Macaca mulatta: one gene and its partners. The protein of the gene in region 1 interacts with the protein of each later gene in a pairwise test. Links are inferred from orthologs where the notes say so. Each region holds a gene or a part of one and is shown on either strand. Other genes may lie near its edges.

The links.
Region 2: the proteins of TPM3 (region 1) and IKBIP interact in a two-hybrid assay, tested with the Homo sapiens proteins (2 studies listed by BioGRID). The two-hybrid records come from large-scale screens. The link is inferred for Macaca mulatta from reciprocal best matches to the Homo sapiens genes TPM3 and IKBIP.
Region 3: the proteins of TPM3 (region 1) and HSF2 interact in binary tests that used the Homo sapiens proteins (3 or more experiments, as listed by UniProt). The two-hybrid records come from large-scale screens. The link is inferred for Macaca mulatta from reciprocal best matches to the Homo sapiens genes TPM3 and HSF2.
Region 4: the proteins of TPM3 (region 1) and THAP1 interact in binary tests that used the Homo sapiens proteins (3 or more experiments, as listed by UniProt). The two-hybrid records come from large-scale screens. The link is inferred for Macaca mulatta from reciprocal best matches to the Homo sapiens genes TPM3 and THAP1.
Region 5: the proteins of TPM3 (region 1) and LURAP1 interact in binary tests that used the Homo sapiens proteins (3 or more experiments, as listed by UniProt). The two-hybrid records come from large-scale screens. The link is inferred for Macaca mulatta from reciprocal best matches to the Homo sapiens genes TPM3 and LURAP1.

Annotation. Positions count from the first base shown.
Region 1 is NC_133406.1:112,847,997-112,852,214, forward strand, and holds the start of TPM3 (tropomyosin alpha-3 chain), read left to right. Parts: upstream 1-1,412; 5' UTR 1,413-1,423; coding exon 1,424-1,555; intron 1,556-4,218. UniProt on the Homo sapiens protein: Binds to actin filaments in muscle and non-muscle cells. Plays a central role, in association with the troponin complex, in the calcium dependent regulation of vertebrate striated muscle contraction.
Region 2 is NC_133416.1:105,938,099-105,942,288, forward strand, and holds the start of IKBIP (inhibitor of nuclear factor kappa-B kinase-interacting protein), read right to left. Parts: upstream 2,801-4,190; 5' UTR 2,713-2,800; coding exon 2,534-2,712; intron 1-2,533. UniProt on the Homo sapiens protein: Target of p53/TP53 with pro-apoptotic function.
Region 3 is NC_133409.1:27,436,439-27,439,949, reverse strand, and holds part of HSF2 (heat shock factor protein 2), read right to left. Parts: intron 3,471-3,511; coding exon 3,409-3,470; intron 2,507-3,408; coding exon 2,419-2,506; intron 492-2,418; coding exon 343-491; intron 1-342. UniProt on the Homo sapiens protein: DNA-binding protein that specifically binds heat shock promoter elements (HSE) and activates transcription. In higher eukaryotes, HSF is unable to bind to the HSE unless the cells are heat shocked.
Region 4 is NC_133413.1:44,941,707-44,945,942, forward strand, and holds the start of THAP1 (THAP domain-containing protein 1), read right to left. Parts: upstream 2,807-4,236; 5' UTR 2,587-2,806; coding exon 2,516-2,586; intron 2,390-2,515; exon of another isoform or gene 2,236-2,389; coding exon of another isoform or gene 2,186-2,235; intron 1-2,185. UniProt on the Homo sapiens protein: DNA-binding transcription regulator that regulates endothelial cell proliferation and G1/S cell-cycle progression.
Region 5 is NC_133406.1:194,374,355-194,378,392, forward strand, and holds the start of LURAP1 (leucine rich adaptor protein 1), read right to left. Parts: upstream 2,812-4,038; 5' UTR 2,746-2,811; coding exon 2,548-2,745; intron 1-2,547. UniProt on the Homo sapiens protein: Acts as an activator of the canonical NF-kappa-B pathway and drive the production of pro-inflammatory cytokines. Promotes the antigen (Ag)-presenting and priming function of dendritic cells via the canonical NF-kappa-B pathway.

The DNA of each region.
Region 1 (4,218 bases):
ATTTATTTTTAGAAATGAGGTCTTGCTATATTGCCCAGGCTGGTTTTGAACTCCTGGTCTCAAGCCATCTCCCATCTCAGCCTCCCAAAGTCCTAGGCTTACAGTCATGAGCTACCACACTCAGCTGATGATTAAATTACCAAGTCCTGAATCATTCCAAGGTTTGGAGGGGCTGGAAGGTTGGTTAATTTGGTGCATAATGACACTCAAAAGTAACAGGGACCTGTAATCCCAGCACTTTGGGAGGCCGAGGCGGGTGGATCACGAGGTCAGGAGATCGAGACCATCCTGGCTAACACGGTGAAACCCTGTCTCTACTAAAACTACAACAAAATTAGCCGGACGTGGTGGAGGGCGCTACTTGGTGGGGTGAGGCAGGAGAATCGCTTGAACCCGGGAGGGGGAGCTTACAGTGAGCCGAGATCGCGCCACTGCACTCCAACCTGGGCGACAGAGGAGACTCCGTCCCAAAAAATAAAAACCAAAACAAAAATAATAAAAGAACAGGGAGCCCGATGGGGCGGCGTGCACCTGTAGTCCCAGCTACTCCGGAGGCTAAGGTAGGAGGCTCGCTTGAGCCCAGGAGTTCGAAGCTGTAGTGAGTTGTGATCTGGCCACCGCCTGCACTCCAGCAACAGAGCGAGATCTTGTCTCAAAAAAAATAAATAAAAAAGGGAAAAGTCTGTTCCAAATAGCACTTAAGTTCATACCATGCCAAATAGAATGAGAATTTGTGCCAACTTGCCACATTCCTTCCACTCCGACAGTTCCATTCATTGACTTCCAGGAGACGGGAGAGAGAACCTACCTACCTGAGTTGACTTTGAAAGGAGACTGAGTGGGGCTTTTTGAACCCTGAGGCCCAGAAAGTCTTTTAGACTTTTCTTAGAACTTGGTTTTGGAGTTTGTCGTGGGGTGAGTGGAAGCAGAGACTTGTAGGATGTTTATATTGTGGAGCAAATACAGTGAGCGGTGAGGGGTATCGGTATTGTGGGAGTGAGGGGCCAACTGCGGGAGTGGGGGCCAACTGCGGGAGTGTAAGGTCAGCGGACTACCTGCAAAGGGCGCAACCATTGTGGGCAGCCAGCCTGGCGGGAAAGGCTAGACCACGAAGCGCCGCCCAGTTATCATGGTAACATTCCCTCGTCCCAACCCCGTCCCAGTTTACTGGCCCAAGGTAAGGCCGGGAGCAGTAGCCCGGGGCAACTGGGAGGATCTACTCCCTGCCGCGGCTCTCCCTCCAGTGGACTGCCTTCCCGCCTGCCTGGCGGTGGGAGGGCGCGGCAGAGGAACGTCACATCCGGGCGGGTTGGTAAGTTCCGGTATTTCAGGGCGTAGCAGGCGGAAGTAAGGGTGAGAGGAGGCTGCAACGCCGAGCGGAGGAGGCAGGAACCGGAGCGCGAGCAGTAGCTGGGTGGGCACCATGGCTGGGATCACCACCATCGAGGCGGTGAAGCGCAAGATCCAGGTTCTGCAGCAGCAGGCAGATGATGCAGAGGAGCGAGCTGAGCGCCTCCAACGAGAAGTTGAGGGAGAAAGGCGGGCTCGGGAACAGGTACGGAGATGGCGAGGCTCATGAGGGAGGGTCAGGCGCTGGAGTAGCCGGCAAGCGGAATAAGGTCCCTTTTGCCGTGGAGCATGGTCCTCTGAGGGCCAGCCTCCTCGGAGATGAAGTTGGGAGCGCGGAGGATGGGTGGGGCTCAGCTCCAGTAGGACAGCAAGCGGACGAGGGGGAAACTGAGTGCTCGGTCGAGCAGGCTTGACCTTTGAAGGAATTGAGGCACAGGGTTTGGGGTGTGGCCTTCCTCCTCTTTTTTTTTTCTCCACCTCATTCATTCAGTCCCTCTGATCCGGGCGCGGCCGGGGGAGGGGCTCAGCGGCTTCTCCCTCCCCCACTTCCCCCTGGAGGGTGGGAGAACTTTGCTCTTGCTTGAGGTTTCCTGCCCAAGGGGTTACAGTCGGTGGGTGCTTTTTTGTTCGGGGAGAGGAAGTACTGAGCCTCCTGTGAAATGGTGAGGGCTGTGGGGTGGGAACCGCCGGAAAGACCCCGGCCTGCCTGCTGGCAGCTTTTCCGCTCCCTCTTCTTGCTCAGGAAATGAGGCAGCAGTTGGCTGAGAGGAAGCGCGGTGCCCTCCCTCCCTGGAGGAGCTCGAGGCCACAGGACCGCCTCTCAACCTCTGGCCAGGGGCCCTTCCTCTTACGGGGTGCTCTTGCAGCTGCTACACCCACTCAATCTACGTGAAACGGCAGGGGAGGGGATAGTACTTCTCTCAACATTAGTGCAAATATAGGAGCCAACCAAACTTGCCTGGCCCTACCCACAATGACCTGGAAGTGTGATCAGTGCAAGCCGAACTGGTTAAGAACATTTCTTCCAAGCAGAGCTGATAAGCGAGTGTATGGCAGAGAATTACATGGCGTGCCAGTCTCAAGGTTTCTGATTGACTTGGGCAATTTGGTGGAGACAGAATAATGAATTCCAGGTGACTCTAGTGGAATATTTGTTCAACTGAAAGTGGGAACATAAAATGTTGGTGGAATGAACGGTGATTCTGGTGATTTTTTTCTTTTTTGTTTTTTTGAGACAGAGTCTCACTCTGTCGCCCAGGCTGGAGTGCAATGGCGTGATCACGGCCCATTGCAACCTCCGCCTCCCTGGTTCAAGTGATTCTCCTGCCTCAGCCTCCTGAGTAGCTGGGATTACAGGAGCGTGCCACCACGTCCAGCTAATTTTTTGTATTTTTAGTAGAGACGGGGGTTTCGCCATGTTGGCGAGGCTGGTCTCGAACTCCTGACCTCAGGTGATCCACCCAACTCTGCCTCCCAAAGTGCTGGGTTTACAGGTGTGATCCACCGTGCCCAGCCTATTCTAGTGATTTCTTTAAACGACTTTCTGATTAAAAGAGGTTGATTAATTTTAGTGTAAGCCATAAGATTTTCCAGGGTCGGCAGAGCTTGCAGTGAGCTGAGATCACGCCACTGCACCTGGGCGACAGAGCAAGACTGTTTCAATTAAAAAAAAAAAAGATTTTCCAGGGTCTAGGGTGTTGTCTAATAGATGGAGCTGATACGAGTTGAGGTTTTAGAGGATCTTGAGAGAGTAAAGTAACTGTTGCTAAAATTTAAGATCCAGTGAAAGAACTCATGTGGTTTATTCTTTGTTCTTTCCCTTGGTAAGTTTTTATTTTTGTTTTTCTTTTTGGCTGCTCCTCTGGGAAATAACTGAGAATGTTTTTGGGAGGGAGGGGGTGTATTTCAGAAAAGCATGGTAATTGGTGGACATCTGCCCTCTAGGTTAAATACTTAAAGATTGTTGGAATACTCACTTATTTTTATAACTGGGCATGGAGATGCTGGGATGGGAGCTTGTTGTCTTCCTCAGTCACCTTTTTCTAGGTAGATTTTTTTCTTCTGTTCAGTTTGCCAGCAACTTCTCATTATCTGTTCAAGTGAGATGGACTGGCTGGGTGACTTTATGGCCAATGGTACTTTCTCATCTCCTTTCTTCTGGAGACCAGATAGCTTTAAAGAGGAAGACAGGCTAGCCAGAGGAACTGGCCATGTGTTGAGCTGCAGAGTCTTAGGCTCAGTATTTAAATATGGACATTCTAGGAGTAGTTCTAAGGTGGGTGGTTCCTGCCCCCCACCCCCCCCTCTTTTTTTTTTTTTTTAGATGGAGACTTGCTCTGCTGTCCAGCCTGGAATGCAGTTGCATGATCTCTGCTCACTGCAACCTCCACCTCCCAGGCTCAGGTGATTCTCCTGTCTCAGCCTCCTGAGTAGCTGGGATTACAGGCATCCACCACTACACCCAGCTAATTTTTTTTTTAGTAGAGATGGGTTTCACCATGTTGGCCAGGCTGGTTTCGAACTCCTGACCTCAAGTGATCTGCCTGCCTCAGCCTCCCAAAGTGGTGAGATTACAGGCATGAGCCACTGCACTCGGCCTGGGGTGATGTTTCTTAAGCTACTCTCACTCAGAGCCTGCCAAATTTGCTTATTGAGCTGAGGTCTAGTGAGGAAGTCCTCAGAATGGGGAAGTAGGATAATAGTTAAATATTGATGAAATCATTACTTCTACTCCCCAGCCTGAAGAAGCTTAATCTTTTGACTTTCTGCTCTGCTGAATTTTGAACCCCTACTGAGGAGACACCTGTGGGATGGGAGGAGGGTTGTTTGGTCTACCTGTTATCCTCTTAAGGCATTCTGCTGGAATGT
Region 2 (4,190 bases), on another chromosome or scaffold:
ACAATGATATAGTGCAATTCCTTGAAATCCTCCTTGGGCAGTGGAAGGGTTCAGATTTTTTCCCTCCAACTTAATAAGATGAAGACTGAGAGTAAGCAGTATTTAAGAATACACAGACAGGCACACATATGCACTTGTATTTTAACCACCAGGGCCGTGTCAGTACAGAAAGCATTTAATAAAGATTTGATGGACCTACTTTTAGATGCTGAATTATGTGTTTTATAGTGGTAAAGATCTCAATGGCTTTGTCAAAATTCTAGTGAGCTTTTAAGTATTTTAAGATGCCAAATACTTGCTTTTTATTTGGAAAATGTTTACAAATGTCTTATGGGGATACATTTTTATTTCGAAATTTACTATGAATAAATGTTTTGCCATAAACAGCGACCAAAGGACATATGCTTCAATTTTTGCAGCAAAAGATTTAATAAGAGCAACTAAGAGGCAACTATTTAAATAATAATTATAGAATCTGCCCATAAAAATACATATAATACATATATTATAGAGAGACAGGGTCTTGCTCTGTCTCTCAGGCTGGAGCACAATGGTATAATCATGGGTTACTGCAGCCTCGACTTCCCAGACTCAAGCTATCTTCTCACCTCAGCCTCCCAAGTAGTTGGGACTACAGGCGCATACCACCACACTTGGCTAATGTTTAGCCACGGTTTCACTATGTTTCCCAGGCTGGTTTCAAACTCCTGGCCTCAAGCAATTCTCTTGCCTCAGTCTCCCAAAGTGTTGGGATTATAGGCATGAACCACTGCGCCCGGCCCCCAAAATAATTTTTGATATAGCATTGTTTTATCATTTTGCAAACATAGTTCAAATTAAATCTTCCTAATGAATGTATTACATTCATTACAATGTAATACACTAACTGCAAATTCCTGATGTGAGGGTAATTTTATTCCCATAAAGTTTAGTTTTCTACTAAAGCTTATCCCAGAATAGTAACTAACTTTCCCAAAACAAAAAACGTTATTTCTTTAGGCAAAGTCTCGCTCTGTTACCCAGGCTGGAGTGCAGTGGCAGATCTTGGCTCACTGTAACCTCCACCTCCCAGGTTCAAGCGATTCTCCTGCCTCAACCTTCGAGTAGCTGGGATTACAGGTGTGCACCACCAGGCCCAGCTAATTTTTGTATTTTTGGTAGTGATAGGGTTTCACCATGTTGGCCAGGCTGGTCTTGAACTCCCGATCTTGTGATCCACCCACCTCAGCCTCCCAAAGTGCTGGGATTACAGGTGTGAGCCACCACACCCAGCTGTTAACAAATCTTTTAACGCTGAAAAATACACTATTTGGGATGAGTCACCAGTAAAGTATAATTCCACATGTAATAGCATCAAAAATGTTTAGATGTTCAGGGTCTCTTCTAAAATTCTATCACTCTGGAAGATTAACAACAGTCTTACTAACTAACTTTACAAACGAATGAAAAACGGAGAAAAATTCTATTAAGGTACCAATCTTACTAAAATGAAATGGGCTATCACCTCACCCCAGAAAAAAAAAAGAAGACTGGGAAAACAAAACTTACAAGTTGGTTTTAAGGTTATTTCTAATACTCATTTTTCCTAATGACACTATTATATTGCCATTTACCTGGTTTTAAAACTGCAACTGTTTAAAGTGAACACAAGTGCTATGTTTTGTAGCTTTACCATATTAAAGTTCAATCTGTAACTTAATAAAATTATAAAAATAATTAAATTCATAACGCACGCACGGTGATCAAAATATGAGCACTCCTCCAAGCTCTGCTACTATAACGTTTGCTCCTTTGGGATCATAATGATCTTTTTCTTTTTTTTTTCTTTCCTTTTTTTTTTTTTTTGAGACGGAGTCTCACTCGGTCGCCCAGGCTGGAGTGCAGTGGTGTGATCTTGGCTCACTGCAACCTCCGCCTCCCGGGTTCAAGCGATTCTCCTGCCTCGGCCTCCAGAGGAACTGGGACTACAGGCGCCCACCACCACGCCTGGCTGATTATTCGTATTTTTGGTAGAGATGGGGTTTCACCATGTTGGTCAGGCTAGTCTCGAACTCCTGACTTCAAGTGATCCACCTGCCTCGGTCTCCCAACATAATGATCTATTTCAAGGTTGCAAATATTTCCATTAGGCATTTATGGGGCGAGTAGGGTGGGGCAGATGTGTCCCGGACTGGGGCACAGTGGACAGGAAGTAACGGTTTATAACAACGTGAACGCTTCTAACGTGAAGCGGGCGCTTCAGAAAGCGTGGCCGAATCTGCAGCTCTTAACAAGCGGCTCGTTCCCAAACTTTAGCCTCAAGTCCCTCTGAGCGATAGAGGCATGCTACCAGTACGGGGGAAAATGAGATATAAGATACGCGCGAAAGGGAAAAACAAGGCTGGGCTGTTTCCTTCCTTTGGGGTCAAGACAGAGCACAGAAGGCCCAGCTCTGGGGGGTTGGATCACCTCCGGGGGGATGCTGAGCCGGGTGGGAGAACAAACAGCAGGGGGCCCACAGGAGGCCGGCCCGGGCAGCCTCGCGTCCACTTACCAGGCCAGGCCCAGGCACGTCCCCAGCGACAGCAGGCTCAGGCCCGTTCGGGGGTCTGCCCAGCCCCCGCCTCCGCCGCCCCGGTCCTCGGGGGTCTTCCCGCCCTCGCTCCGCTTCCCGGGCTCCGCAGCGGGGGCTCCCTTGGGCCCCGACTTCTTCCGGCTCTTCACCTCAGACATGTCTGGAGGCCCTAGGAAGTTGAAGCCCCGGGCAGCTTCTTCACCAGGGGTAGCAGGACGTGGCTGCCTTGGCGATCGCGGGAACCCTGGGCGGTGACCGCGCCCCTTCACAGACTTGGCACCGCCCAGAGCCCAGCCCCTTCCCTCTCCCCGCCATCCTCGTTGCTTCACTGAGTCTTTCAGCTACCAGCTCCAAAGTTCCCCTAGGAGAGGTGCGCGGCGACCTCACCCCACAGCGCCTTCCACTGCGATATTGCTCCAAATCCGAAGAAATTCAAACTCCCGGGCGCGCTCAGGCCGACGGGACCCGAGGAGGTGGGGCGGGACAAAGGGGTCGCGCGCGCCACGTCGGGCGCGCCGCCCCCGCCCGAGTCAGGCCTTGATGGGAACGCGGCCAGTCCCTGAGGCGAAGCCAAGCCCCCTCCGCGGGATAGGCGGGCACTTCTACGAGCGCGGGCACGAGCCGTGGCGGGAGTGCGCGGCGCCGGCGGCCGCCCCTTGGGGCTTCGGGTGTGTTTATTTGCATAAGCGGGCGCGCGCAGTCCGGGCTGGGTGGGTCCGGCGGGATTTGATTGCTCAGCTGTCCAAAGGTGGAGAAGAGGTAGCGAGCGAGTGGACGTGATTGCTCTATCCTGGGCAAAAGGGACAGAACCGGAGGTGGAGTGTCTGGGCAGTCGGCGACCCGCGAAGACTTGAGGTGCCGCGGCGGCGTCCGGAGTAGCGCCGGGCTCCCCCCGGGGTGCAGCCGCCGTCGGGGGAAGGGCGCCACAGGCCGGGGAGCCCTCCTCCCTTTGTGTCCAGGAGTGGGTTCCACCGGAGGGCGGCCCGTGGGCCAGGCCTCACTGCGGCGCCCCGGGACTGTGGGGTCAGACTGCGGTGGGTGGACGCCCACCTCGCCACCCTTCGGAGGTCCCTGGGGGTCTTCGTGCGCCCCGGGGCTGCGGAGATCCAGAGGAGGCGCCTGTGAGGCCCGGACCTGCCCCGGGGCGCGGGGTATGTGACGGGACAGAGCCCCACACCCCTGATACCCGGTGGAAAACCTCTGTTGCCGTTTCCCTCCACCGGCCTGGAGTCTCCCAGTCTTGTCCTGGCAGTGCCGCCCTTCCCAGTAAGACCTAGGCGCAAAGGCTTGGGTAAGTTGACCTCCTCGCTTTTCTCCCCGGGCCAGGTTCTTTGGAGGCTCGGTAGCTGGTTTCAGGGACTGATAATTTGAGGACATGGTATATTTGATAACCATCCTGCTCCTGTACCAGGAAGAGAAATTCTCTAACGAGGAAGTAGTAAACTTAGGGTTTTCATGGATGAACGTACACTGTGTTTTCTGTTTTACATCTAGGAAGAGTTTTGGCTTTTCATTTTGTTGTGGGTTACAAAAGGTTTTGAGACTTAGTTCAGATTATTTGTGCAGTTTTAAAACGTGTTTAAGATTTGCATATTTTAGTTTAACAGGACTAGGTGAAATTGGAAATTAGTGTCAG
Region 3 (3,511 bases), on another chromosome or scaffold:
AAATGGAAACTCTCTCCCATACCACATACTGAAAGGCTTAAATTTCTTGAGCGAGCAGCTTAATCACAATATTGGTACTTCATAGTATAGAAGACCACAACGATTCAATGAGAAGTGTTTAACTACAAAATAAAAATCAATTAATTTTCAGTATTACCTCCTTTGAGAGGAAGAGGAGGTGAGGCTTTATCTGGTTGAATAATTTAGCTTAATTATTCAGTTTAATAATCCAAATGTGAGAAAGATTGTTAGTCTTTCAAAGAACAAAGTAGTTTTGAATTTTGCTCTGTAATAAGAAAAGTAATCAATATTTTCATACATTTTATCTCACAAACTCCTTACTTGGAGGGATCAGATATAACATCCTCATTAGTTTCTGGAATAACTGGGATATTTTCTTCATCTGCATTATCATCAGTAACATCATAAATAATGATGTCATCTGAAATCCTCTCCCTTGGCTTTAAACCTTCAGTCCTACTGTGTGGAACCTAAAAATTCAGAGAGAAAAATATATCTAAAAATCAAAATCATTGACTACCAAACAAGATATCATTTACAAAATAACTGGGCAACTACTACTTACTGAATCTCGGGGTATGCAAAACAAGTATGTTCTCTGCTCTTATGGAACTTACATACTAATTGGTACTAGTAGCACCAATTCACAGAGGTATGAGGTATATTAACTGCATTCTACACTTAACTACTTCTTTTACTGTAAGGGACCCTGAAGATGACATCCCTAAAAATGTTTCTATGGAAAGATCTTCAAATTTTACAGTATTTTTTATGCCTAAAGAGTAAAAAAGTCTTAGGACTTCACCAGAAATTTCAAGCACAACCAGACAGCCACCGTGCTGACAGGGATATTGTTTCAGCTCAACCTGCTCTGTTTTGAAATATGTTTTATTCTTATTCATTAAATAGCTTCACTAAGAGAAAAAAAATGCACTTCACCTATCTCAGTTACAGGTTAGCTTGGCTTTTTAGCAATGATTTTTTTAAACTTAATCTACAGATATATTCAGGCTATAGCTGTATAAGCAAAGTAAGTTCAATCCTGTAAAGCAAACTAAAGTCATTATTAAAATGCAAAAATCTGTAAATTCCAATACTAGATAATAAAGAGGCAAAGGATGTGAAGTACTTTAAAATATATAAACCCAGTCAAAAATGTAAAACTCTTCATCCACTTACATGAGCCTTCAATTCTAAAAACAAAATAGGTATGCTTGATTATTTTCTAACAGTAGTGGAAAAAGAAATCAGACGTGAGGTTAAGTTTGATTGTCCAAGAACAAAAATCTTGTTACTTTAATAATAAATCTGAAGAACTATTTTGAATTCTGAAGTTTGAAAGTAGTAACAAAAAGATAATAAAAACGATCTGGACTTTGGACTGGACTAATTTGCCACTGGATAGAAATCTGACAAATTATCCGGAAAGCCTGTGACAAAATGAAGGTAAAAATTTAAATTGCTGGAGTAAAAAGCAGTCTAGTTGGTGCACATTAATTTAAAAAAAAGTTGAAAATAAAATAACCAATGTAAGAATATATAATCACATTAAATTATTATATTTTCAAAATATTCAATTATTATATTAAAATGAATGAGCCAGGTGCAGTGGCTCATGCCTGCAATCCCAAAACTTTGGGAGGCTGAGGCAGGCAGATGGCTTGAGTCTGGGAGTTCGAGACCAGTCTAGGTGACATGATGAAAATCCATCTCTACAAAAAATACAAAAATTAGCCAGGTGTGGTGGCACACACCTGTAGTCCCAGCTACTCAGGAGACTGAAGCAAGAGAATTGCTTGGGCCCAGGAGGTGGAGGTTGCAGTGAGTCAAGATCGTACCACTACACTCCAGGCTGGGTGACAGACTGAAACCCTGTTTCAAAAAAATAAAACAAACAAAAAAAAACAAGACAAAAAAAAAGAAATGAATAAACTAAATCTCTATGTTTAATAAATCTCAAAAGCAACACCAAGTTAAAAAAAAGCCACACTGTAAAATGATATGCACAAAATTATATTATTTATATGAAGTTTATATATATGCAAAATAATACCAAGTACTGCTCCTGGATTCACACATACAAAATGGCCATGAGAATGATAGATACTAATTCAAGATAGTGACTACCTCTAAGGTAAGCAGGGACAGTAAAGAGGTGAGACAAGAGAGGGGGAGAGAGAAAAACTTGGAAACAGGCAACTGGAACAACTAGATTTGTGATGATTTATTTCTTACAATAATCGAAAGTAAATAATAAAAAATGTCACAGTTTAACAAAGCTGTGGGATGAACACTTGAATTGTTATTCACCACACTTATTTGAATGCATGAAACACTGCCATAATAAAATTTAGTGTGACACAATAAATATAAAATAGATTCTAACTAAAAAATTACTTTATGATGGTGATTATCAGTTGGTTCTTTGACTATGTGCTGAAACAGGTTCTTCTTTTGGGCTCCATTAGTGTTTAGAAGTAGAGGCCTGAAAACCAGAAGAATATGCAGTTCAGTGACAAACATACAAGGAATTTAAACTCCCTCTCTATTAACTTACCCAAACACACACACATGCACACTCACTTTAATAATGCATAAAAAGGTTCAGTAACAATAAATAAACTTAAAAATGATTACATCTTAGGAACAGAAACTGCTGGATGAGAATATCTACGACTTTCAATTCTCCATTTTTCTACACTCTTTTTGTTATAATAAACTATTCTCTCCAGTTATACTTCATTGCTTACTGAACTACACAACTCTATGAACTGTATTTATATAGAAAAAAACAGATAATATCATAAGAAATAATTAGTGGAAGTAGTTAAGGTCATAAAGCTCTGATCATAATCAAGTTTTCCCCAAATCTTAGTGTTACAGATCATTTTTTCCTTTCAACTATTCCTTTTGTCCATTATTCTTCTAATGTTTTCGCTGTGACGATAGTAGCTACTGACACAGGTATCACAACCCATGGTTGAAATACAGATTTAAAAAGACTATGAGCGGATTAAACTAAGAGAGGTCAAGTAAAACAAAGGTTGATGTTTTCTTTTGAACATATGGCCTCTTTTTAAATTTCCCTCACTCAGGCCTTCTAATGCTACTTTAATAATGTGAATGAAAAGTGAATATTCTTTATTAACTGTACGTATGTCTATAAAGTGACCATTTAGGCTATCCTTATCTCTCACAAACATCAGTAGAATGATAAAACTAAAAACTAATATCACTCTAGAGATTTTAAGAGTATAATTTAACTAAGGAGAATTGTTCTTTTGGGACAACAAGCATATACTCAGCTAATGTAGGCTACTCATAGTTAAACACTAACAAGTCTGACTGTCTATATACAGGCCATAATGCTATATCATAAAAACTTACCTTTTACGTTTTAAACTCACAAGTTGGTTATTCTGAACCAATGTAACAATAAACTGGACAATCTGAAAAAAATATAAACAAAAATTCTTTCATTATACTGTTA
Region 4 (4,236 bases), on another chromosome or scaffold:
TGCCACTATGCAGACGGTGGGATAAGTGGTACTCCTAGAAAATCTCAGCTGGGGCTGGGCGTGGCCTGTAATCACAACTGTAATCCCAGCACTTTGGGAGGCCGAGACGGGCGGATCACGAGGTCAGGAGATCGAGACCATCCTGGCGAACACGGTGAAACCCCGTCTCTACTAAAAAATACAAAAAACTAGCCGGGCGAGGCGGCGGGCGCCTGTAGTCCCAGCTACTCGGGAGGCTGAGGCAGGAGAATGGCGTAAACCCGGGGGGCGGAGCTTGCAGTGAGCTGAGATCCGGCCACTGCACTCTAGCCCAGGCGACAGAGCCAGACTCCGTCTCAAAAAAAAAAAAAAAAAAAAAAAAATTAGCTGGGCGTGGTGTTGCGCGCCTGTAGTCCCAGCTACTCAGAAGGCTGAGGCGAATCGCTTGAACCGGGGAGGCAGAGGTTGCAGTGAGTCGAGATCGTGCCACTGCACTCCAGCCTGGTGACAGAGCAAGACTCCATCTCAAAAAGAGAAGAAGAAAATCTCAGCTGGAAATGGCCTCTATACGTATAAACTAGGGTGGCATTTGCTGGTAAAATTCCGTACCTATGGCCTCCTGGCTCTGTAAGCATAAACTATGGTAGCATTTGCTGCTAAAATTCAGTCAGTACCTAGGGCCTCCTGGCACAAGGACCACAAATTTACAGCTGTTTGTGAGATTCTGTTAAAATCTTTCCCATCTACTCTCCCTAAACCTGCTCTTTTAGATAAGGGATAAGATGCAGGTTAGCTCTTCTTTTGATTCAATCCGTATGTGTTTAACACCTAGCAGAAACAGTTATTTCTCTCTTTTTTTTTTTTTTTTGACATGGAGTCTGGCTCTGTTACCCAAGCTGGAGTGCAGGGCAAGATCTCAGCTCACTGCAACCTCCATATCCCAGGTTCAAGCGATTCCCCTACCTCAGCCTCCCAGGTAGCTAGGATTACAGGCGTACGCCTGTATTTTGTATTTTTAGTAGAGACGGGATTTTGCCATGTTGGCCAGGCTGGTCTTGAATCCTGACGTCAGGTGATCTGCCCACCTAGGCCTCCCTAAGTGCTGAGAATTACAGGCATGAGCCACTGTGCCTGGCCAAAAACACAGTTATTTCTGACGTGTGAATACCCTCCTTAAACTTGTTTCCAGTGCCAGTGAAACATTTTCCATAATTTTAGATTCCTTCTGCCATGCCATCAGAAATGTGGGTGGGGAGCTGCACATGTAATCCTGTTACCATCACCTGACCTTTTCCTACATTTCGAAAGAACATGTTTACAGAAATTCCAATTAAATTAAGAGACAATATTAGGATATCCTGAACTGAATCCTGTAAGTGTTCTACCCCCTTCGCCAAGGGGTAACATCATTACTCTGGAGACCTATGTTCTACACTCTCTTATTTCTATAGGGTCCATCTCACATGATATCAAACACTTAAAAAATGCATGGACACTCCCCTAGTAAACATAGATGGCTCCACACCAAAATAAAAAAATTGAAAGGATATTTAACATTTTGCTTTTGTAATTACCTAATTATAAAAGATAATTAGCTAATTACCTATGACTAATTTGTATAGTTTACCCCTGGATCTGATTTCTTAGCTATCATCTGCATATAGTTGTCAGGAATTCTTACAAAGAAAACTTAACATAAATGTAATTAAAATTTGTAAACAAATTCAGCTGAATGTTATGTCACATTTTACAAGCGTTTGATTATCATAAGTAATTGCAACTTTGCACTTTTTTTCCTATTTTCAAGAGAATATTTTTGATCCTAGCACTCTTAACTGTGCTACCTATTGGATAAGACAGCTCTGAAAGCTGTGGGGCAGTTTCTTTCGAAAGAGCTTCCTCTATGCACAGGTAATGCCGTAATAAATAAAGATCAGTGTGAGTCATTTTATTATGATCCATGTTGTAACTATCCATATTATCATTATTGTGTGCTGAAAAGATAACGATTTATCTTGGCAGTACCTGAAGCTTTCTTCAAAACTCAGGGTCCTTAAAGCTTAGTTCCTAGAGATTTGGGGCAAAAATTCTCCGGGATTTCCCAGCCAAAAAACCCTTAATTGCTACGATGCTGGCCTCCCATCCACGACAAGGGAAAGGCCTTTGTTTATATTTCAAATTTACCCCTAAGACGTTATTACAACACCTGGCTGCTCGTGACCCTGGTGGCGGCAAAACCCGCGCCACCATAGGCATCGCCCGCGGGCTCCAAACTCGTCAACCGAGGCCTGGAGCGAAGCCTGCAACGAGGACCTGTTCCGAGAGCGCAAGAAACAACCGCCGCGGAGACGCGCGCCGAGAACGCGCGATCGGGCGACGGTTCCCAGCAGGACGCGGCGGGAAACGCCTCGCGCGGCCGGCCCCAGACCCCACCCGCCCCTCGCGCGGACACGCGCCTGGCTCCGCCCCCGGCCCCGCCGGTCGCGCGCCCCCACCCTGGCTAAGACCGGCCCCGCGAGGCGCGCAGGGTCCTCACTTGTGGAAAGAAACGGGCTTGTCCTTGTCGTAGCGGTTCTTGCAGCCGTAGGCGGAGCAGGACTGCACCATCCTTCCGGTCTTCAGGCACTTCACTTCTGCCGCCGCAGAAGGCAGGGGAAGCTGCTTTCAGTGTCGCCGCGCTCGGTTGGACACCCTCGCTCTTTTGTAGCTTTGGCCAACAGTTACAGTAATGGTGGCCTCCCTCTGGGGTGACTAGTGTGCCCGTTTTGTTGTTTGCATTAGCAGAAGGACCACAGCCATCGCCCGTCTCCCATCTCCAAGATGGCGGAGGCAGCTTCAACCTCACCTCTCGCGAGGGGTGCGTCCCACTGTCTCTGATTAGCCCCGAGGTCAGAGGTAACGATTCCTGGGAAGCTAACTATTGGCTGAGGCCAGGTGTTTCCGGCGGTGGCTTCAGAGTTGCGGAAGTGGGCGGAGCCCTGAACTTCCGGTAGGCAGGAAGGAACAGCTTGCGGGGGAGGAGGCGCGGCGGGAGGCTGGATTCCAGGGGCATCATCCAGCCCGGGCTGTTCCCGTGGGTTAATTGATGCGGAGCTTTTCTGGGGCGGCTTACAGTAGGAAACAACTAGGGCCTCATGGAGAACAGGTGTAAAGCCGAGGTCGTTGTCTGATTGCGCCCATTTCTCTAAAAGGGCGGACACAGATGGTGTATGATTAATAAAATTGTGGAACCTTTTCCCAGAATGCTGATCTTTTTCCCATTACCTGTGTCTTCAGGCATCACAAGTCTCTGAGAGCCAACGTGACAGGTTTTTAGCAATGAAAAAAGACACACTCGCCAAATCATCTGAATTGCCAACGCAGAAGCATTATATATATGTATATATGTATGCATATATACGTGTGTGTGTATATATATATATGTAATTTTTTAAAAAAATAGAGGCAGGATCTCCCCACGTTGCCCAGGCCAGTCTAGAACTCGAGCTGAAGGGATCCACCTATCTCGACCTCCCAGTGGGTTGGGATTACGGGAGTTGAGCCACCAGGCCCTCCCTCCCCAGAAGCTTTTGTGAAGGGCTGTCCATTGCTGTGATTTCCATGTGCGGTGTTGCAAATAGGGAGCTGCTGCAGCAGTTTTCACATCTGAGAGAGAATATGTCAGAGGGGTTCGAAATAGAGCGACTCTGTGTTGAGTGAGGGCTAGGAAAATGAGGCTGGGACTTGCTGGGCTGCATTCCCGGAAAGTTAGGTGTTCCTAGCCTCTAGATGTATACCATTAAGGCAACAGATTGATAATGTTTACTAAACAGACCCAGACTTCGAAGTGTCCAGATATCTCGATATTTTGAGAACAGAAGCATTCCTAATTTTGCTTTAAAGATAATAATGGACTGGGCACAGTGCCTCACGCCTGTAATCCGAGCACTTTGGAAGGCTGAGGCGGGCGGATCACTTGAGGTCAGGAGTTTAAGACTAGCCTGGCTAACATGGTGAAACCCGTCTCTACTAAAAATACAAAAATTAACCGGGTGTGGTTGGCACATGCCTCGAATCTCAGCTACTCTGGAGGCTGAGGCAGGAGAATCGCTTGAATCTGGGAAGGCGGAGGTTGCAGTGAGCCGTGCTTGCACCACTGCACTCCAGCCTGGGCGACAAGAGTAAGACTCTGTCTCATAAATAAATAAAGATATCGATTCTTACATAATATAGTAATTAATCCTTTATCACAAACCCTTGTAGCACAGCACATGTCCC
Region 5 (4,038 bases), about 82 Mb from region 1:
TCTGTGGAGGTGGGTTGTCATAGCAACAGTTCTTTGGGTGGGAGAACTAAGAAGAGGTTGCCACTGTTTCCCATTCCCACATATCCCAGTCTGGCTTGTTCACTCAACCTTTGAATGGTGGGTAGAGGAAGAAAGCAGGAGGGATGAGGCCTAGAGGCGGACTGACCTTGGCCTCAAGGGTAGGCCTCCCTGCTTTGTGCAAGGAAAGCTGGGAGAGGAACAATTGAAGGACAGTCCTTAGAGGGCTTGAACCAGTCCTGCCTTCATTAGCCCCAAGGGAAACCCCTTGCCCCACTGCTTGTCCTTCCTGGGTGCAACCCAGTAGGCAGGGCAGAGCACAGGAAGAGATTAATATTAATAACATCCTGTCCTGAGGAGGGAGAAAAATAGGATGGGGATCTCTCCTCGTTCTGGCCCCAGAAGGCTCCCTCCCTTGTGCCCTTTCTCGGGCAGCCTCAGGCCCCAGGCAAGCAGGGTCAAGAATACAGAGAGACAAAATCAAAAGTTAAATGCAGCCCCTTAAAGTTTACAGATCGTTTCCACCAAGGCAGAAAAGAGAGCCAGAGAGACTAGGCGTGGCTCTTCCACTGACTCCCTATGTGAGTTCAGAATCTGCAAGCATGTTTTATCTGTAAGATGGGAGAAATGATGACCAGTTTTCTCATTTCAATGACATAAAATGTGTTTAGACTATCTGGCACAAAGCAGGTCTCAAAGGTAAACATGCAAAGTGCAGTCAGATGATCTGGGTTCAAATCATGGCCATGCTTTTTGTGTGATCTTGGGCAGTTATTAAACTCCCTGTGCCTCTGTTTTCTTTTCTCTTTTCTTTTATCCTCCCTCCCTCCCTTCCTCCCTTCTTCCCTTCCTTCCCTCCTTCCCTCTCTTTTTTTGAGACAGGGTCTAGCTCTGAGCTCTGTCACCCAGTCTGGAGTGCAGTGGTGCGATTTCAGCTCACTGCAACCTCCTCTTCCTGGGCTCAAGTGATCCCCCTGCCTCTGCCTCCAGAGTAGCTGGGACTACAGGCATGCACCACAACACCCATCTAATTTTTGCAGAGACAGAGTCTTGCTTTGTTGCCCAGGCTGGTCTCAAACTCCTGGGCTCAAGTGATCTGCCTGCCTCAGCCTCCCAAAGTGCTGGGATTACAGGCGTGAGCCACCATGCCCACCCTGTGCCTCAGTTTCTTCATCTATAAAATATCACTTACTTAACATGGTTACTGTGGAGATGAAGAGAGTATCAAGTAAAGTGCTCAGCAAGCTGCCTGGCACATGTGCTGGGTGAAAGTTAGTTTTCAAAGCAACTAGACAGTCTAGGTAGGCTCTTACTAGGCCTTGAGCTAAAGTTTGTACAGCGAGACAAAGGCAAACCCCTGCTTAGGTGGGGACAGTCACAGCCTTGCTCTGGAGAATTTGGCACTCACCTCCAACCTTCAAGGCCAAGTGCACACTTGGCATTCAAGTCCTTCTCCCAGAGGGCCTTTCCTGGCTGCTCCACCCACCAGACTCTCTTCCCAGTCTCTCAGCTCAGGCATTAGAGCCCTGGCTGGTCTAAGAGCCCCCATGACTTCCTTCCCCTGCTCCTTCACAGACCAGCTTGGCACAGGCTGCGCACACAGTGGGGGTCCAGAAAGACTTATTAGCTGACATATTCACTGTGGGCTCCTGGTTGTAAGCCAGGAAGCTGATAGCAATTCCTCAGTTCCCCAGAACTGGCTGCAAAGTAGTGGCAGGTGTAAATCACCCACTTCACCGGAATCAGGGCCCTGAGGAACATGCCAGGGCCTTGGCTGCCCTTTTGGCTCTGAATCTAGACCAGCAGCAACAGAGAAAGGGGAAGGTTGCTGTTTCCTCTTCTCCCCAAGAATGTGCAGATGAGATCCAAATATCCAGTTTACCTGGGAGATTGGATGGGAGGAGACTGAGTCTGAGGTGAGGGAATCAGCACCAATGGTGCTGTTACTCTCTGTTCCTGCTATGGGTCTAGGAACTTTCCATTATTTTAAGTAGGGCTGGGGGATGTAGAGGAAATGGAGAAGGTTTTCAGTGCCCCTGGTCCAGACAGTTTACAGCAGATAGGCCCCTTTACCCACATCTTTTCTGTGCTGAACACTGCGGGCCTCACGGGAACTAAACCCTTTCCCGGTTAGCAGAAGGAGAAAAAACCGGTTGCCTTACAACGGGGACTGGGGGGGAATAGGTGGCCCATACGGGCGGGGGGAATTTGTGCTGCGTTGGGTTCTCAGTACTTCCCAGTACTCATCTCTCTCCTCCCAATTATTTGGCAGGAATAACTTCCAAAACCCACGGCTCCCACCCCAATTCCTCAGGACCTATCAACACCCCCACTCACTCTTGGGGGACAATTAATGGATGTCACTCCATCTCCACCCCAGCGTTTACGGATTGATCTGGGAGGGATTCTGAGCAGTTAGGTGGAGAGTTTTAACTACCTCCTCTCCAGCTTAACTCTGAGAGCATGAGTTCGTCCCTCCTGGCCCTAAACTGGGGACTCGTCCCCTTGGCCCATGGAGTCTGCACTCACCAGCTCCATCTTCAGCGCCATGATCTTGTCCCCCAAGTCGTGGCCGGTGCTAGGCGTCCCTGGGAGCAGCAGGGCGCCAGAGGTTCCTAGGTCACACTCGCCTCGCAGCCCACGGAGCAGCCCTTCAGGGGTCTTCCTGCCCACCTTACCCTCCACATCCCGCAGGTCAGGCGTCTGGGACTCCACGGTTCCCTCCATGCGGGCCCAAGCCTGAAAAGGGCTGGGCAACCGGACGCCAGGGACCGGCTCGCGGGGGTCCTCCCTTCGCCGCTGCTAAAGCGGAGCAAAACCGGTGGGTCCCCGCCCGAGAGCCGCGCGGGCGGCAGGAGGGTGCCGTAACACTCAGAAAAGCCGCGCAGCACTGTCCGTGGGTATATTCGAGTGCTGCGCACACAACCTCCGGCCCTGGATTGCGTGGGGCTGGGCGGTTCTGGAGTTGGACCTGAAAGAGCACTCGGAGACCTCAGCGCCTTCGCCCCACCCTGGCACTGAATCCAGCCAGGCACACAGCAGGCGCCCAATACATGTTTGCAGAATGAAGTCTAAGCAGCTTCAGTCAGAGATGTGGGAGTTTAAGGAACAGTGGTAACAGAGAGCTGCAGAAGGCTTGGAAGTCTTCCTGGAGCAGAGGAATTGGGTCTAAAACGATGGCTGGATTTTAGTCAGACACACACACAACACCCCAGGGGCTAGAATTCAGACTAACGGAGTAGAAAGGGGCAACCAGTATTGAAGCTGAAGAGGTCCACATTGAGCTTACAAGCAAGATCCTCCTCCTTAAACTTGACTGTGCATATGAATTATCTGCGGATCGTATTAAAATGCAGTTCTGATTTTGTAAATCGGGGTGGGGCCTGAGATCCTGCCTTTTTTTTTTTTTTTTTTTTTTTTGAGACAGAGTCTTGCTCTGTTGCCCAGGATGGAGTGCAGTGGCACGATCTCGGCTCACTGCAAACCACTGCCTTCCCCGGTTCCAGCGATTCTCCTGCCTCTGCCTCCTGAGTAGCTGGGATTACAGGCATGCACCGCCACGCCCAGCTAATATTTTTGTATTTTTAGTAGAGACGGGGTTTCACCATGTTGGCCAGGCTGGTCTTGAACTCCAGATCTCAAGTGATCTGCCTGTCTCGGCTTCCCAAAGTACTGGGATTACAGGTGTGAGCCACTGGGCCCCGCCAAGATCCTGCATTTCTAATAAGCTCCCAGGTCATGGCCATGCTGCTGGTCCACGCTTCAAGTAATAAGGGACCACACTTTGATAACAAGGTTACAGAAGATGGTTCTGAGATGTTTGGGTTTTATTTAACAGGTAATGAACAGTCATGAAAACTTTGGTTTGTGTAGGCTTGTAATTCAAGTAATTCCAGCCCGTGGTTGCAGAAGGATTTACAATGAGAAGATAGTTACCCCTGCCCTACCCTTTCACACCTCTAGGCCCACTCCCAATTGGCAAAAAGTAACTTTTAGTTTTTGGGGGGTTTTTTGTTTTTT